3 linked regions of the Oryza sativa Japonica Group genome follow. Each later gene encodes a partner of the first gene's protein in a complex. Links are inferred from orthologs where the notes say so. Each region holds a gene or a part of one and is shown in the gene's direction. Other genes may lie near its edges.

The links. The genes of interacting proteins can lie anywhere in the genome.
Region 2: mediator of RNA polymerase II transcription subunit 13 (region 1) and mediator of RNA polymerase II transcription subunit 15a share a complex: the UniProt entries of both Arabidopsis thaliana proteins name them as parts of the mediator complex. The link is inferred for Oryza sativa Japonica Group from reciprocal best matches to the Arabidopsis thaliana genes GCT and NRB4.
Region 3: mediator of RNA polymerase II transcription subunit 13 (region 1) and probable mediator of RNA polymerase II transcription subunit 26b share a complex: the UniProt entries of both Arabidopsis thaliana proteins name them as parts of the mediator complex. The link is inferred for Oryza sativa Japonica Group from reciprocal best matches to the Arabidopsis thaliana genes GCT and AT5G05140.

The regions. Positions count from the first base shown.
Region 1 is NC_089039.1:22,060,891-22,064,404, reverse strand, and holds part of mediator of RNA polymerase II transcription subunit 13, read left to right. Parts: intron 1-97; coding exon 98-329; intron 330-1,223; coding exon 1,224-1,430; intron 1,431-2,589; coding exon 2,590-3,514. UniProt on the Arabidopsis thaliana protein: Component of the Mediator complex, a coactivator involved in the regulated transcription of nearly all RNA polymerase II-dependent genes.
Region 2 is NC_089042.1:28,450,866-28,455,036, reverse strand, and holds the start of mediator of RNA polymerase II transcription subunit 15a, read left to right. Parts: upstream 1-1,357; 5' UTR 1,358-1,488; coding exon 1,489-1,646; intron 1,647-2,438; coding exon 2,439-2,550; intron 2,551-3,416; coding exon 3,417-3,525; intron 3,526-4,171. UniProt on the Arabidopsis thaliana protein: Component of the Mediator complex, a coactivator involved in the regulated transcription of nearly all RNA polymerase II-dependent genes.
Region 3 is NC_089039.1:20,347,247-20,351,304, reverse strand, and holds the start of probable mediator of RNA polymerase II transcription subunit 26b, read left to right. Parts: upstream 1-1,244; 5' UTR 1,245-2,069; coding exon 2,070-2,660; intron 2,661-2,760; coding exon 2,761-2,829; intron 2,830-2,918; coding exon 2,919-3,001; intron 3,002-3,252; coding exon 3,253-3,308; intron 3,309-3,403; coding exon 3,404-3,528; intron 3,529-3,633; coding exon 3,634-3,661; intron 3,662-3,742; coding exon 3,743-4,058. UniProt on the Arabidopsis thaliana protein: Component of the Mediator complex, a coactivator involved in the regulated transcription of nearly all RNA polymerase II-dependent genes.

The DNA.
Region 1 (3,514 bases):
TTATTAATGCCTATCCTTTATGTTCTTAATATATCCTGATTGCTAATTTTGTTTTGTCCATGATTTTTTTCCATCTTGTGTTGTGATTCGGTATCAGCTCTTGCCTTGGATCATCTCGTGGACTTGGAGTGAACTCTAATTTTCTAAGACTAAGGAGACAGAAGAACAGCAATTACAGCAGCATGGCCAGTAGTATCAGTAGTGTTAGTAGCACTTCCAATGGAAGTGAACATGCAGTTGCTGCTGAAGGTGGTGACCTTTCAGCTGATGCAGACTCTATGGCATGCCATCAGTCTGATCTGCCATCCAACATTGCTGGTAGCAAGATGGTACTTTGTTACAATCCTTCTTAATTTACCTCCCCCCAAAAAGTGAACCTTAATTCACACATAGCCTTATAGCCTTTTTATACTTTGCTATTAAAATACTGTTTCTTTTTTAATCACTAGTTAAGCTATTATTAACACAATAATATGTATACTCTTCCATCCTTCTTACGATCTTATTGGTGATTCATCTTTAATGAGGCACAGATGCAAATATAGGGTATGCTTAAATAACATATTTATTTTGGAAACGCATAAGACATGTCAACCATGTGTTGCTACATCCTTCTTATGGTCTACAGAAATGGTGTATGCTATTAGTGATGCCCAAACATTTTTTTGTGCCATCTCCCAATAGGCTTTAATCTAATGTAATATGTTAATTAGAGGACTGACATACTTAATATATTCTTTTCTTTCCTGTAAATGGTATCACTATAATTAACAAATGGTTTGGTATTGTGGATAAATGAAATGAAAATCTGGATAGAAATAGATAAACCAAATGCCAGTAGACCTTTTGTACATGACACGACACATTATGAAGTTCATAGAAGCTTATAGATGTACCTTCTTACGTGTAAAAGTGTTTGTGTCTAATTTGTGAGTAAATACGATCCACTCAGACCTATGTTCACTTAAAACACGGATGTCCATGTATTTGCCCATTGATGCTAAACCTATCAGATCAAATATTTTCTTCCCACATGCAAGCCAAGTGTGGATGAAGACTCTGGTGAATGAATTTTCTGCATCTGGCACCTTTTATATTCTTAACTTTTGTGCAACAATATGAAAATGGTATTACACGATCATGCTATTGTTGTGCCGTGTGCCCGTGTTACATGAACGTAATGGCATTGCTGTAACCTTGATGTTCTGTACCTGTGAAACCAGGTATCCAAGCGGCCTCGTTCTGAAATACCAGAAGTTTCTTCTCGTGCTGGTAAAGAATCCGTGGATAACAATCAAGGGGTAAATGGTCAAGGTAGATGTTCTTGGGGCTGGGATGAGGAGGGGGTTGCGATGGACATCAATTTACTAATATCAGAGTTTGGAGATTTTAGTGACTTCTTTCAAGAAGAGGAGTTAGACTTTGGTGAGGTATGCTGTCATGTCCCATGATCTTTCTGTAGTTTACCAATCAACCAAGGATTTACTCGGACTAATGATAATACTGTGAATCTATGCTACTTTGAGATATTCTGTCAAGTATAGAAGTAGTCAAATTCTGTTAACTAAGATTATATTTTGTAATTCCTACTGTTGCATTTTGTGCTGCTGCGTAACCTTTTTTTTTTTTTTTTTTTACAAAAATGGGCAATTTTCACAAAACCATGCATAACGAAGTATTATAATTTGTTTCAAGGAACCCATGTTTTGGGGCAAAATGTTTTGAGGAACTCAGATTTATATAAAATACTCATTTTCATGATTATATATGGTATTTTTAATATATATTCACATATAAGTAGGCTCAAAATGCACTTCCTCATGTCTAATTTATCTTCATCACTCTCGCACTCAATGATTGCACATACTCAACACAGTCCTCACTGTTGATGACAGATTAACCGGTTACATAAACACAAAATGGTTTATACTTTTGATAATTAACACATGTTGAAAATGCGGATAATACATATATACTTAATTAACAAAATATCACATACTATTTTTTGCAATTATTATGCATAAATCTATTAGCCAAATAGACAATATAAGTTTAAATGTAGTGTTTCTTGAAACATTTTGCCTCCAAACATGGGGTTCCTTGAAACAAATCGCAATATAAGGGGTTTTCCGTTACACATGCTCCCAAACCCGGGATTTTGTGAAATTTACTCAAAAAACCACTACTGCTTGTTTTAAGAGTCTAGATTATAACTGCCTCTACTGCTTGTTTTAAGAGTCTAGATTATAACAGGTGGCTTCATTACTGCCCTTTTAAGTGTATAAATTGCAAAGAACGACCATTTATAGAATTCCTCACAGCTTACATGCCTTGAAACATGTTGCTTGCGATTTCGCCTAAAGCCTGTGGAGGAATTTTCTTCTACTGCACAACCTCATGTTGTTTGCCTTCTAATTTAGACAGTTGTCAAACTATTCATGAACAGAAAATATTAGGAAATTCTGCTCGGCAGATCTAAACAATTTCGAGCACAATAATTGCATTTTCCTTGAACAGAAATAGAACATGATTGTTGCATCCATTGTGGCTCAGAATTGCAATGTTCTAACCTACCTACAATTTATATAGCCTCCAGGTACTGCTGAATCACATTCTCTGGTGATCCCCGGTCCTGACTGTGGGGATGCCACATTCACAGATAGTCCGTCGACAGCTATGGATATACCTGAACAAAGATTTTCTCCAGTTGGTCTCTCATCTTTGGAGGTATTTAACCACCAAACTGTAGCACCTATTCATGATGTTGTTTCTAAGGTTCAAGAGCCTCAGAAAGATATTGCGTCGCCTACAAGCTCCCAATCAGTTGTGTTATCGTCTGGTAGATCTAGTCATCTGACCAGAGCTGAAGCATTGCTCACTTATGCACCCGAGTATGCAGCTATTGAAATTTCCACCGGTGAGACACCAACATCGTTGTTTACAAATCCTTACCAGCCCAGATCCATAAAACCAGGGAGTTCTAGTTTTAACTCAAGAGTTTATTCATATGATGCTGCACAAAGTTCTCAAATGGAGTCTGGAGAAGACAAGCCTGAGAAGTCTGTTAGACTAGCATCTGGTAATCTTTCACGTGATATTGGTTCATCAAACTTATACACAGTTGTCCAAGTTGGGAAAAAAGAAAGTGACAAAGGATTAAAAAACACTGACATACAATCAGGCAAGGAGGAAGCATCAAGACCTATTTCTGGTGAGACTTCACTTGATTCTTCTGTGGTTTCTCAAAGGAAGAGTGACAGCATGTTTAATGCTGGATACTTCCTACTATCTATGAAGACTGCTCTTGCAACTGAAATGGAATGTATCAAGTTCCAGGCTGCCATGTGTAGAATAAGGCATACACTATTGTCTTTGAGTAGCAAAGCATCTGCTGAGCTAAAAAGTGCATTATCCAGTCTTGTGCATACAGATGTCAGCAACAAGTTAGATCTTGTCCCCAAATATGACATAAAAAGGAAAGAAAATATACCAGCTAGGCTATCTATTGATGTTG
Region 2 (4,171 bases), on another chromosome or scaffold:
GTATTTGTAATTTGGCTCGGCTCTGTATAAATGGACCGTATAATATGGATATTGATTTTGGCTCTGTGTTTGGACTAGAAATATACTTGGACTGTAAATGTGGATGGGACGGTATGGTGTATATTGTATAATTGGTCATTTGGCTATAGGTCAACTCGTGTAATAGGACTGTACATTTATAATTGGGACTGTATGACTGGACGTTGTATTTGTGGTGGGACGGTGTGACTTGGACAGTGCTTTGGAAATGGGATTTGTGGTATGTATAGATATTCCGAGAATGCACGAGGGCAGAATAAATGGATTGCAACATGAGACTTTGTTTGGATGGATGCACCGTATTGCCAAATAGGAGTTTAGGGTTAACGCACGATAAATGAATTTATCGGTTGTTGTAGGATTATTTTGAGAGTGTTCGTACAAACGAACGACGGTAGCGAAGAAAGGATTTTAGGGACAACGCGTAGCATACAAATCCAATCGTCGCGGTAGGAATAGAATCGGAGATAATTGAATTGACGCATGATAAATAAATACGCCGATCGATTGTAGATAGTCAAGGGAGAGTGTTGGGTTTGAATTGATGGAGTGATTTTAAATAATCGCTGGGCGAGAGTTTGAGAGAGCAACAATATCGCGATAGGACAAAAAAGTTTTGGGTCATTGATTTATTTAGCATCGAAGCACATAACAAATTAGACCGCGAAGGTAAGAGAAGGTAAGGATGGAAAAAGAAAGGTATAGGAAAGGGTGTCCTTTCTAGAGATAGGGTTTAATCAAAATCTATGGCACAAATTCTAAACACACACAAATAAACAATAAATCCTAACATGCAAACTAGGCTATACCTGAGGGAAAATTAGACGTTGTGTGAGAAGGTCATATCTTTTGAAAATAGCCTATTATGAATTATATTTTGCAAATAGGGTTTTTAATAAATACTTTACTAATATATATTATTTTGTAATTAATTTTCCGAAGGCAAATTCCTTTTCAAAGGTTCGTATAAAATAGCCATAGCTATGTTTCTTTATTAAAAGGGTATTTATTTCAATATACTACCCATAGAGGGTTTTATCCAAAACGGTAACATGTATTTATGTGTAGCTTTATTTACAAAATAATTATGCTGAAGGGGTTCTAATAGAGAAGGGTTTTTATATATAGTTGGCATTTGCAAATGTTGAAATATTTCATAAATTTATTATTATATTTTATTAGTATAAAAAAGTTAGGGTTAACGCCATGCTACCGTATGCAAGGGGAAAGGAAACGCAATCGGAGTATGCTGTAAGTACAAGGGGGCAAATGCGAAATAAATACTAGGTCGGTCCAACCCCGAGGTTTCTTCTCCTCCGAGGCGAGGCGAGACTCCGATTCTAGCCTACCTCGCTCGCTCGCTCGCTCGCTCCGTCTTGTGGTCGCCGCCGCCACGAAGACCAAACCCTCGCAAATTGCAATCGAAGAAGAAGAAGAAGAAGAGGAGCCATGGATGGCGGCGGCGGCGGCAACTGGAGGCCCACCCAGGGGGCCGACCCCGCCGCCTCTGGGGGCATCGATCCCAACGCCCCGGCCCCCGCCCTCGCCGGCGGCGACTGGCGCTCCCAGCTCCAGTCGGAGGCCCGCAACAGGATCGTCAACAAGATGTAGGGCTTTCCCCCTCTCCCCCCACCCACTTCCCTTCCCTTCCCTTCCCCCAATTTTTCTTCTCTTCATCAACTATATAAAATAAAATAGAAGATCCATACATCGCATCATCCTTTTGTGCCTGTGGTCGATTCAATATGATGCAACTCTGATCCGATCTACTCCTACGTAGCTAGTTGTAATCTCATCATAATCTCCCCTTCCGTGCCCCTGTGTTTCTGTTATTTATTTATTATTATTTACTTTGTTAGTTAGGTCCAACTCCAATCCCTCCCCAACTATTTTCAGATTCTTATTAGCTTTGACATTCTTGTCTAGTTCACCTAGTCTACATATCCAATTGAACTCAATTTACATTTCATCAGACACAGTTATTACAGTATAGAGGTTTGCTTGGAAGATGCACCCCTTCTGTTCAAATGGATCTTCCCTTTGAGGGTCAGGGAACTATGATGGCAAGGCAAACTGTTTGTTGGAGAAACCGCCTACCTCTCTCGTTTATTTTACTTCGTTATGTTAGATCATGTATGTGCCACTCTCGCTCCGCGAGTCCTTTGTAGCTGTTGTCCACTTTTGGTCATAGCCACTATATTTGAGCGCGTAACTTGGGCTATGCCTACTCATTTGTCCAACATCTTGAATGGTAGACTGACACATTATGCCTTAGGTGACATTTCTCTTTTTTTTTTTGCACAAAACATCTCAAAAGCACTCTCTCTCTCTCTCTCTCTCTCTCTCGTTCTGCATGGGATATATTCGTCATTTACTTGCTTGTTGCAATCTGCGTACAGAATGGACACTCTGAAGAAGCATCTACCAGTATCAGTGCCTGAGGGGTTGAATGAACTTCAAAAGATAGCAGTGCGATTTGAAGAGAAAATCTATACTGCAGCCACCAGCCAGGTACACTTAGCCTCTTGCTAACTCATCGGGTTGATCCAATCTTTCAGTTGTGGGGCTCAAGCATGGCATTTGGGATCTTAGTAGAAGAAATCGATCGTCCAATGTTTGCAAATATGTCTGTTGATTTTGAAGTTTGTTAGAGTTTCGCCGTGAAGTATCCACATTTTCTTTTGAACCGATTGTAATATTTCGCACTTCCACCTAAATCAGATTATCCAAGGCTGCTGAAGCTTTTCCCCTTCCATTATCGGGGGAAAATCTCCTTTGCGCCTTGGATACAGGGACTAAGACTGATTCAGTCCTATGCTAGAGGTGTTGATGTCCCCACATTATTTTCATTGATAACATATCTCAATAGTAAATTAGTATTAATGAATTATAGAACTAAACAATATTTTTACCATGAGACTGGTTTCTCTCATTGGCCATGTTAAAAGTACAGGAGTTGTACCTTGAGTTCTGTAAGCCCATCATTCCATCTGTTCATGCTTGTATAAATCACCTGTAAAATATTCCCTTTATCCCAGATGAAACATCAAACAATGGTTTACTCCAGTCCTTCCTTTTGTGTTAGCGAGTATGTCATCATATATCCCACTTCATTTTGGTAAACATTTTTGTAGGAGCTTCTTTGGCTGGGTATAGGGATTCATAATCTCCAAATTCCAATTGTGTTCTCCTGTTCATACTTCATCAGGCTTATTCATGCCAAAGTAGTTTGCTGTATAGATAAGAATTTGTATAATTTAATTGATTGTATAAAAAAACGAAGCATATGTTTCAATTGTGCTAACCACCAGGACTTAGGGTGGCAAGTTATTTATTACAAAGCCAAATCTTACCATTGTATTCTTTTGTATCACCAGTCTGATTACTTGCGGAAGATTTCTCTAAAAATGCTCTCTATGGAGACAAAGACTCAACAGAATCCTGGAAACGCCCAAGTGATTCAAAACCAAAATCCCCCTGGCTCAGGTATCATATGAAGTATATTCAATATCCGATTCTGAAATACTGGAGTAATAGTAAGATATTCGCTGGTACCATATTTTGTTCACCGTAAAAGTCCTTGTATATATTTTTCATGATGTAACTATATTGCATGTGTGTTTACAAGCCCCATTTCTGAGAGGAAACCATCCAATGGAAGCTCTGCCACACTGGGTACAACAGTGCTCTCTCGTTTTAGCTTGTATCGGATAATGCTCAAGCAAGTAAATTAAGGCGAGATGCCTGTCAGTCGAAACCTCCAAACTTGTTGATTACTCGAACCTAATTAAGTAATTGCTAATCTTGATAGCAAACACACCATTTGGATGCTGGCCACGAATCCTTGCATGGTCATATTCAAAGCTTTTGGGCACCAACATCAAAACAGACGACCCCTTCAATCTGCTTGTTCTAGTAGAGGCTAGATCAGCCATGGCTTCCAAAGTAGAAAAGCAAAGCAAGGCTCACACCATCACGTCTGCTGCCAGCAGCCCAAAGACCAAAGATACACATAGCTTTCTAGCACTCATTCTCTCTCTTTTTAATCAAAGATTAGTATCATAGTCTAGCCCATTGGCAATACACAATCACTTCATCGATATAACCTCTCGCACTGGATTTCCTCTCCCTG
Region 3 (4,058 bases), about 1.7 Mb from region 1:
TATAGCAGGAATTCGACTATTGGTGACTTGATAACTCTCATCGGCTGATTCCGAGATGCTACAGCCGATAATGATTCTAAGCCGATGACGCCTTTGTCGATTATCAAATTTCACTGTTAATAGATAGCTCAGTTTTTTATAAATAGAAAGGAGTATTTGCCGCCTAAATATTTTCTTTGATGATACAGCGTATATTGCTAATCAATCTTGATCGCCATTTACTAATCCAAGATTTCGCTACTACATTAGCACCTTGTTTTGAAAAGGATGCTAAAAGTACTCCATTCTTTTTCTATTCAAAAAAGAAGAAGCTATACAGAGCATAAATATTTCTTTGATCCTACGGTGTACTACTGTGCTATACTATATCAAACCATCGATTGGCATTTACTAATCCAATACTATTTCCTCGCACCATGTTTCGAAAATGATGCCAAAAATAGTCCATTGGGCCTCAACAATTAATAGTACTCCTAAAGCACATTCTCCATTCCATAAAAAAACCACCCTATTACCGAAACGTGACACATTCTAATACCACAAATATATTTATATAGATACAATCCAAGTTTACTTTTTAAAATTTGAGTGGCCTACGGCGGCTACGGTTGCATGCACGTATTTTCTTGGTTCCATAAAAAAAATAACATAGTGTTGAACGTCTATTCAGATTTATAGTATTAAAATATATCATATTTCGTACTAATTTAGTCTTTTATAGAATTGAGAGAGTACTCTATTCATCTAAAAATGGACAATCCTTCGTAAGTTGAGTTTTTCTTTTGGGATGGAGGTGGGTACGTGCATACAACTGGTTCACATACTATAGACACTTATATATGAAACAAATAAGAGGATGATCCTATTATATAATAACAGTGATATTATGGTAGATGATGCTCACCTACCCAAGTTTGAAAACTAAACTTGAATTAAGTGGATATCAAACGGGAATCATTAGCCCAATAAACAAAAAACGAATGCTACTATTACCAACCAAACACTACAGGAAAGAGTAGTACTAGTCCCACTCCCACCAACAACAGTTGAGATCCTCTCCAGTACTGCATGTGCCGTACTGCTCACTAATATGTGGGCCCGAGGGGCTATAGGGCTCACATGTCAGGGAGCCTACTGCATGAGAGGACCTGCATCCCACCAACAACTCGACAGGGTCAAAGCCGAGAAACAGCCACGAGGCCGCCTCCCTCTCCAAAACCGTAGTGACCTCGCCCTGTGTGGCTGTGTCCCCAAACCCGGTAAAAAAAAGGGCCCCCCCGGAAAGTCCTAGACCGAGAAAAGCTGCGACCTCCGTTGCGCGAGAGAGAGAACGAGACGAACGGAAGGAGTTGGGAAAGGGAGACGCGAGATTTGTTGTTACCACTAGGAGGCCATGGTGGTGGTGGTGGTGTGCGTGCGGGGGAATTAGGAGGAGGAGTAGTTGTTGTTGTTTGGTAGAGTCGAGCTTGCGTAGTTCTCGTGGGCTCTCGTTTTTGCGTTGCGTGTGCCTCGCCATCCGCCGCGTCCCTATCCAACCCCCCTCCCCGCATTCCCTCTCCCCCTCGTCGTCGTCGTCTTCCTCCTCCTGCGGCGGCGACGGCACAGATAAGATTTGGTTAGGAGCTGTTTTGTTTGTTGGGTTGAAATCGTCAAGTAACGTGGACGTGGGGGTGAAGCAAAGGAAGGGAGGGGAGATTGGGTTTGGGTGGTGTGAGGATTGATTTGTTTTTTTTTTTTGGGGTTTTCTCTTCTTGATTGATTCGTTCTTGGCGTTGAGGAGAGGCAGCGGTGTTCGTTAGATTGATTTTTCGCTGTCTCGGGAGAATTTCGCTTTCCCGGTTGGGGGATTCCCTCGGTGGGGGGCATCTGATTCGCGATCGGGTTGGATTAGATTCTTTTGGTGCAACGTAATCTGATAAGGGGAAAAAGAAATTTCAAGATTGTGAGGAGGAGGAGGAGGAGGTGATCGAGAGAGGGCATCGATTCTTGGTGGTGCCAGGGGAGCCATCGGAGTCGTGGGGGTGGAGGTGGAGGTGGGGGGAGCCCGATCTCGGGTGGCCGCGGCGGCGATGGCCGACCGGCTGGATCGGTGGCGCGAGCTCCTCCGCGGGGCGGCCGGCTCCGCCGGAATCTGCGACGTGATCGAGAACGCCATCCTCGTCGCCGCCGCCGACGCGCCGCAGGAGCTCCTGCGCCGCCGCGACCGCATCTGCGAGATCCTCTTCACCGCGCCGCGCGCCCCGCCCTGCCACCACGGGTGCGGCAGCGCCGCCACCCCGACCCCGGCCACCCCCGTGGAGGAGGACAAGGGCAGCGTGCGCCGCGTCCCCGAGAAGCAGAGCAAGGTGGACAGCAGCAGCAACGGCGCCCTCGGCGGCGGCGGCGGCCGCCGCGACGACGTCGATGACGACTCTGACTCTGACTCCGACGACGAGCGCCTCCGCCGCGCCGCGGCGAGCAACTACGGTCACAACTACGATGATGACGACGAGGAGGAAGAGGAGGAGCAGGAGGCGGCGCCGGCTGAAGAGGACGAAGAACAAGAGCTGGACCCCGAGGCTGTGGAGCTTGAGGCACTCACCAACGAGATCGACGAGGAGTCACAGGTCGTCGGCGAGGTTCTCCGCATCAAGGACCTCTTCTTGCACAAGGAAGATCATGTATGATGAACTATTCCCAGCTTTCAGTTCTTCCATGAGTAAGAGTTGTGCCATTCCTCAACAGGGACTTAACATTTGATCTCAACTGTGGTTTTCGCAGTCGGATGCTACTTTGTTCGAATCACTGAGGAGGCTGCAGCTGATGCAATTGTCCGTTTCCACGCTGAAGGTACTGTGTTGGATAGCGCATATGAGCTATGCGGAGTGACGCATAGTGGTTCTGTTTGGTTTGCTAATCTCCGATGTTGTTTGTTGTAGGCTACTGAGATTGGGAGGGCTGTTAATGGGCTGCGGAAGCACAACTCGCAGCAAATTCGTCACCTTGTGCGCACTCTCATTGAGTAAGTTCAATATGCTTGCACTAAATTTCATTCTCTAGGGCTGATCTAGCTTTTAATTTAGAGAACTTGCTGAAGCAAATTGATACTCTACTGTACCTATAAGTTTCTGAAAACATGATACGAGTCTACTGATTTAGCTTCTGTATTCTCCAGTCTTTGTACTACTTGAGTGAATTATTTACCTTATTTGTAGTGTGGTTATTAACCAATTTTGGAAACATTGTTGACGTCTTAAAACATTTTTTTTTCAGAGGTTGGAAAATTTTGGTTGATGAGTGGGTCAGCACCACTAATGTTGCCCTTACAGGTAATAAAAGTTATTTTGTTTCATATCGCGTATGAGTCATCAATTTGTAAGTGAATGTTCACCTCTTAACATGTAATGGATCTTTTGATCTGTAGACAACTCCCCGGGCTCTTCAAAAACATCTGTTGTCGATGATGCTGATGATGAAGGGCTTCCTTCTCCACCTCTGGATGAAGGGGCGTTCTTTGCAACCCAGACTACTGCTATTCAACTCTCTGAGGTACTAATTTTTGTTTGTTCCTGGTATCTGGATTGTTTTGGTCCAGAACACAATTCTAACTTTGCATTGTTGTTTTTCTTTCTGCTTCATCTTCCTGACCTAAAGTTCTTTGATGAAATGGATGAAGATGGAAGTAAGTACAACAACTCAAATTACATAGTTTCCCTTTTTTTTCTGTGCACTATAATAATTCAAGTTATACATTTTATGACAGACTTGAGACATAACAATGATGGGAGCCTTGGAAATAAGAGAGAAAATTATGGCAGGAGGCCTACAAGCCATCCAGCTTTGACAAAGCAAGAGCCTCCCCGTAACATGGGAGCTGTTGAAAAAGTTCAATCCAGGAGGCCGGAATTGGCAAGGCAAGAGCCATCAATGAGGCAGGCTAACCCACAAACCCCTCAAAATTCAAGTTTGCAAGTCAAACAGCAGGCCATGCTTCACAAGCAATCTAAGCCCTTGAGTTCTGATTCTGGACCTGGGAGACCATTAAGGGCAGCTCCTCAGCAGAAGCCCTTTGTTGAGAT